Styela clava: one gene and its partner. Each later gene encodes a partner of the first gene's protein in a complex. Links are inferred from orthologs where the notes say so. Each region holds a gene or a part of one and is shown in the gene's direction. Other genes may lie near its edges.

The links. The genes of interacting proteins can lie anywhere in the genome.
Region 2: the proteins of NADH dehydrogenase [ubiquinone] iron-sulfur protein 3, mitochondrial-like (region 1) and NADH dehydrogenase [ubiquinone] 1 alpha subcomplex subunit 5-like are in contact, whole or in part, in a cryo-EM structure (PDB 8ESW), measured with the Drosophila melanogaster proteins. The link is inferred for Styela clava from reciprocal best matches to the Drosophila melanogaster genes ND-30 and ND-13B. Residues at the interface, in NP_647775.1 of Drosophila melanogaster: Tyr66, Glu69, Cys70, Leu71, Pro72, Lys73, Tyr74, Val75, Gln76, Lys77, Leu89, Ile90, Ala91, Pro92, Glu93, Val96, Pro97, Gln100, Phe101, Asp104, His105, His106, Gln107, Gln109, Val119, Val121, Cys123, Arg124, Asn126, Glu129; in NP_648409.1 of Drosophila melanogaster: Tyr28, Ser43, Tyr44, Tyr47, Thr48, Leu51, Arg55, Cys74, Gly75, Glu79, Gln83, Ala84, Asn86, Glu87, Ile89, Leu90, Lys93, Met94, Trp97, Lys98, Pro99, Trp100, Glu101, Lys102, Leu103, Val104, Gln105, Ala106, Ala107, Pro108.

Annotation. Positions count from the first base shown.
Region 1 is NC_135254.1:12,649,833-12,652,663, reverse strand, and holds NADH dehydrogenase [ubiquinone] iron-sulfur protein 3, mitochondrial-like, read left to right. Parts: upstream 1-1,031; 5' UTR 1,032-1,032; coding exon 1,033-1,860; 3' UTR 1,861-2,213; downstream 2,214-2,831. UniProt on the Drosophila melanogaster protein: Core subunit of the mitochondrial membrane respiratory chain NADH dehydrogenase (Complex I) that is believed to belong to the minimal assembly required for catalysis. Complex I functions in the transfer of electrons from NADH to the respiratory chain.
Region 2 is NC_135250.1:11,173,728-11,177,445, forward strand, and holds NADH dehydrogenase [ubiquinone] 1 alpha subcomplex subunit 5-like, read left to right. Parts: upstream 1-927; 5' UTR 928-1,072; coding exon 1,073-1,087; intron 1,088-1,787; coding exon 1,788-1,949; intron 1,950-2,766; exon of another isoform or gene 2,767-2,933; coding exon 2,934-3,098; 3' UTR 3,099-3,163; downstream 3,164-3,718. Other genes in the region: nucleolar complex protein 4 homolog, read right to left, coding at 3,238-3,718.

The DNA of each region.
Region 1 (2,831 bases):
ACAAGAAAGCGGCACATACGGTATCGGTAGGACATACATTCGAAAAGTGCATTTCAGTACCGGTACGGTTCAGTGGTTTGACCTTAAACCGAACCCCCGAAGCAGCACCACTAATGCCAGTATCTGCTCAAGTTATGTTGCGGTGTGAAATTATTCTAAATAGATATTGGCCGACTAGTAGTAATGTACGGTACCGTACCTCATTTTTTAGTTGAATTTTTCTTTATTTAATTTAACATTGTCATAAGTCATAAAAGAGTATCATGAGCTTCTTAATTTTTGTATAGCGACATGTATTCTTCCAGACACTGCACCAACAAGAAAGCGGCACATACGGTATCGGTAGGACATACATTCGAAAAGTGTATTTCAGTACCGGTACGGTTCAGTGGTTTGACCTTAAACCGAACCCCCGAAGCAGCACCACTAATGCCAGTACCTGCTCAAGTTATGTTGCAGTGTGAAATTATTCTAAATATATATTGGCCGACTAGTAGTAATGTACGGTACCGTACCTCATTTTTTAGTTGAATTTTACTTTATTTAATTTAACATTGTAATTATCTGGTCATATCCCACTCATACCACCCCATATGAGACTCATATGGGCTGGTGCAAAACAGAATTTATACAGCCATAAGTCGGAGTTTCTTGAACAGCGCGAGAACGGTTTTGTAGTCCCTCAATTCTATATTATGTTTTGGATAAATTTAACAGCATAACGGTAATGTGTTGATATGCTGAGTACATACTATGCAGGTACAGAGCTACCGGTACCGGTATTGGTTAACTCTGACTCTCCCCAAACGGGAATTGAGGCATGACTTGTCATTAATGGTGCCAGTGCTGCCAGCAGGTTGGTCCTTGACAACTTGAGTTCATTGCACATTTATAGATGCATCAACATACAGACATATAACATACCGGTATTATATCCTTCCATTTGAATGTCGCTACCAGTCTGCCAGTACAAGAACCACTATTTATTCTACTGTATTATATGAAGATCGTAGTGCAAAATCAGCCATCTTAATGAATTTTATTATCATTTCCAGAATGGCCTTTTTATTTCGAGGCATTTCACGCTTAGTTACAACTAATGTTCATTCAAATTTAGCGCCAATCGTGTCTTCGAAGGGTCTGTCAAGGTGTATCGCAAGCTCCAGTCATCTACAGACAAATGAAGATGGTGTCACACCTCCCACCGACAATTTACCTGAAATTAAAATGTCAAGGGAAGTTGCATGGAATCAGCTGATGGAATTCGGTGATTATGTTGCCAATTGTTTACCGAAGTATATTCAACAAGTCCAGCTTACTCATACAAATGAGCTCGAGGTCATGGTACATCCTGATGGAATACTTACTACAATGAGCTTCCTGAAAAATAACACTTTATGTCAATTTGAGTCCTTGGCTGATTTGTGTGGAAATGATATACCAACAAGAGTCTATCGATTTGAGATTGTGTACAATCTACTCTCTCTGCGATACAACCAACGTATTCGAGTGAAAACTTACACAGACGAGTTAACACCGGTTGATTCTGTTTGTAGTGTGTATCGTGCTGCCAATTGGTATGAAAGAGAAGCTTGGGATATGTATGGTATATTATTCCGTAACCATCCAGATCTTCGTAGGATTCTCACTGATTATGGATTTGATGGCCACCCACTTCGTAAAGATTTTCCTTTGTCTGGTTACCACGAGGTTCGATGGGATGATGAAGCTGTCAGAGTTGTTCGTGATCCTGTTGAGCTTGCACAAGAATTTAGAAAATTTGATCTTAACAGTCCATGGGAAGCCTTTCCGAAACATAGGAATACAGACAACCTTAGTTCTCCTCCAAAACATGAATAAACTGATTTTAGAAGTTTTCTTTGATAATATATTTGAGATATTTTCTTTGTCCATATTAATATTTGCATCATAAACAAAATTTTTCTTTCTGCTGATGTCATGAATTTTTATATACAAGTATTGCATATTGTTTATTTGAAAAGTCAGTTATATCAGTAGATATGTTTCCAAGGTTAAAACTATCTCAAAGTATTTGATATTTAAAATTTTCTTGTGTGGTTGACCATATTCATGAAATTTTCCATTGGATTGTATGGTTTATGGAAGATTTACCTAACTGAAAAATGCTTTTTGTGGGTTCATACTTATTAGCTACATGATAATGACCTTGTGTATTTGCTTTTGTTTCAGAATTTTGACTAAATTATGTCGTTGCCGAATAGAATTTGTACCGTTAAACTCCTCCAAACTTTTGTTAACTATAGTAAATCATCCAATACGTCAGTAATTTGTAAGAATTCTATACCAGCACCAGCACTTCACTCTGCACGGATATGCCAACCATTTTCTACATCCACGGCAGAAGGGAACACAGGGGAGATAAAAATAACTAACATTTTGCAAACTCGATTCCCTAATGCTGTGAAAATTGATGTAGAAGATATTTCAGGTGGTTGTGGAAGTATGTACGAAATTCACATTGAATCGGAAGATTTTTCAAAAATTCGAACTGTTGCTGCACACAAGCTTGTGACAAATGCCCTAAAGGAGGAAGTTTCTAAAATGCATGGTTTAAGAATATTTACATCAGCACCCAAATAAAAGTTCCAATTTTGCCTGTGGGTTGGCATTGCTCAAGAAAGAGTGCAAGCATTGTGCAATTGCAGGAGTGTAAATTCAACATTAACACTATTTTCTTCCATATATTTAACAATTAGAATAAGCTATAAAGCAAATGTAAAAAACTCTCTGCATAGCTATACTATTCACACTTTGTGGGTTTGACTGATATTTCCTAAAAATCCTATAAA
Region 2 (3,718 bases), on another chromosome or scaffold:
CCTCGCGGAACACCAAAAAATGAAAGGGTGAAATTGATAAAGAAAAATGGTGTAATGCAGCGGCCCCAAAAGGGTATGATACTAGTGCGCTGTAGCGTGTTGCAAAATGCGCCGCGAAAACTAACAGAATTGTGTTCAACATAACTAAAATATGATTGAATATTTTGCATATTGCATTTATTATAAATGTTTATTGCTCCCTATTTTAAATGCTGTGTATATTGATCAATAATTCATTTTACCTTTTTTTGTCGTTTACTTTCTATTACGTAGTGTTTGCCTCTAATGTTACCTAACAATGCAGTTAGAAGTACTTGCTGCAATTTTGCGAGCTGCAGTTTGTTTATTTGCTGAATCGAGTTTAGCGAACATGAGTGATTTTTTTCAGCATTTTAAATAAAAAACCAGGCAGAGCTCAAAAATGAAGACCTTTTGCTTTTGTCCGCTTTAGGCCGACCGTGACGCGATATTGAACGATCGCAGGTTGGGCGACAACTTCACGATCCCGAGATAGCCTTAGCGACCAATTAAGTCGTAATTTTGGTCCCCTCTCCGCGGAACACTTGGAAGATGCTCGCGGAACACAGTTTGGGAAACGCTGGTCTAGCATAAAAACATCCAACAAATCCCCATCCCGCAGTCACAAAACCACAAACAGACATCCATGATAACCCACCGGAGACCAGAGGCACTCCCACAGACACTCATGACCAGAATCCAACCGAAAACCAACCACACTGTACCGGTACCAACCACATCACACCACAGCACACGGTAACATGATTTCAAAGACAGATCGACAGTGTCACAGCGTCCTCAGTGTTGAAAATACAAAATACAGTAAGAATATGACATCATTTAACAGTTAAAACAAGGTTCGTCACAATATCATTTCAATATTGGATTCGGACTCGGAGTTCCGATAACTGACTCCGGGCCAACATTCTCCGGTTTTATTGCTGCAACGGGTTTGTGATTTTGGCAGCTAAATTTCGAGACTTGCAAGCGGTTTCTGCCTTCTGGGAGATCTTCGGCATTGTTTGTAATCTGTGAGCTGATAGGAAGGTCTAAGATGGCGTCCAAGCTGGTAAGATTTTTCACCATACAACATATATGCTATTTACTGCAGTACCGGTACTAACCTGCTAACTGTTATCAGAATACTGTATTCTGGCGGTACCGGTAGCAGTATAGGTACAAAACTGAATCAAACTGCAAAACTGAAAAGAATACTTGTAATCTGTGCTTCCATATCATATCACAGTACCTTATCACTGTATCGTGGGCACCTTTGCCGTACACAAACAAATGTTGTCAGTAAAACATCCAACAAGTTGACTATTAAACAACAATTCCTGAATTCACTAGACGAATCCTCCGAATCACCAAATTCGGAGATTATAAATTCTAATTTGGGCGCACGTTCACTAAACGGCCGTAAGTACTTCTAATTGGCATTTAACAAACATTTTTACATACGTTGATCCTAATCATGATTTGGGAATCCCACCATGGTTTTGCGGCAGCTCTAGGCGCCACAAAATAATTGAAACTGCACTTGCTAATTTGAGTAGTCTGGCGAGTGTATATTACGAGATTTTTTTTTTAGCAATCAAATGCCTTGTATCTGTGTAACATACGGTAGTGCAATAGTGTACAGTACGGTACCGGTAGCTATCATGACTGGTGATCTAAGCTTTTAATCTCATATCAAAAATGTTTCATCCACGTAGAAATGAATTTGGTGGCATCGTTTCGAACTATACTGTTAATGCATTTTTGTTCAGACAACAGGGTTAGTGGGATTAGCCGTGGAAGCAAATGGCAAACAGAAATTAGCATTGCTTTACAAGAGAACACTTGAAATAGTGGGGAATATGCCACAAACTGCAGAATATCGGCAGAAAACAGAGGCTGTAACCAAGCACCGACAAACTATTCTCAACAAGGTAAATACTACTGCTATTTTTATCTTTCAAGCATTTGAGAGGTAAAATAATATGACTGGAAAAACTAGAACAGTAATTAGAGGTCAAAAATTTAGGAAATTAATTAATTTTTGTCTCATATCTTATATCAGACTGATCCATATAATATATATTTAACTGAGAGGTGGCCACCTTTTTCGTCTTCAATATTTTAAATTCATCTACAACAATTTAAATGAGTTTGAATTAATTTCCCTTTCAATCTTAATAATAGCTATGAGACCAACTGTATAGGTAACACAAGAATATGATAATTCCAAGCATTGTTGTGATTTTTGGTCTCATGGCCACCCAAACACTATGAACTAATAATGGTGAAGTATGTAGGAATATTTCATTGCCAAATCTAGGCCCTTTGCAGCAAGAAACCAAGCAAACTTCTGTTACTCTCACAAGATTCCACCAAACATTCAAAGTTGTGCATTGGTGATTAGTTCTGAATGCTAGTCATTACTCTTAATGTGTTATCAAAACAGCTTACCAGAAAATGGGCAAATCCGGCCAGTTGTGTAATTTTATCTGGCCCGTCTGATGCTGCCACAACCAAACTAAAACCAAATTTTGAAGTATACTAAAAATAGCTCAAGTTTGTTGAGATTGCGAATAAATTTAGTTTTGACATGTGGCCTATTGTTTTCCACTTTTGCTTTTCTAACACTGTAAATATTGTTCATAAAATGTAACTTTTCACACTTACATGGCCTGTGCAAAATTTTTCGCCCTGGTCCAGAAAACCTTGCCTATCCCTGCTCTTATAGCTCTCATTGACACAGTGAAAGACTCTTGATTTATATTTAATTTCGTCTAATCATTTTGTTGGAAATTAAAAAGACGAAGATCATGCACACTTGGGCAGGACTATCAGTTAAATTCCTTATCACAATATCAACAGACTCTCATTTATCCATGATGTCTACATGCCATTTTCTCTCTATCATTTTACAGTACACAGATATGGCACTGGTAGAAGAGCATATTGGAAATGGACAAATTGAAGAACTCATAATTCAGGCCAAGAATGAACATCATCTTGCCAGGGAAATGGCAGAATGTCGACCATGGGAGACATTGGTTGGAGAAGCACCACCTGGACAATGGGACTGGCCATGAATATTTTTGAATATATTATAATTTATTTTTATTGTGTTCTTCTGATTACAACATCCACCTAATGAGCTGTGAGAATATTTATTTCATGCACAAGGGATATGGGAATTAGGTTTAAGAAGATATTGCATAGTCCTATTTTCTAAACTGACCATAGTTCCATTACAGCATCATCAAATCCACCAAACAATGTTTTTGGCGCTCTGTAATTCATAGGAGCGTCTACAATTTCCTTCTCGCAAAGTGTATCAAACATTTCTTCATAAGTATTTTCAAGCAAGTCTGTAATGTCCTGCTTTGGTCCCTTGTCAATGTTTTTTATCGCAGCGCTTACCGAAGATGAACAATGTTTCGAAAGAGCTGTCAATTCCCATAAAAAGCTTTCCATCGCTTTGCATTTTGCAGGATCAACTTCTGCTTCCAAGTATGGATCGCCAGCTAAAGCTTTCTTTTGTAAGGCTTTGGTATTTTGGTTTATGAGAATTTTTATAGAAGGGTGTCTGTCAATTAAAGTCTGAATAAAATTTACCAATAATTCTTGCGCGCAGGTTGGTGCAACTAACGTCAATCGTGAAAGTCTTTTAGCAAATGCTGCAACCAAATATGCAGGCAAATGTGTTGAT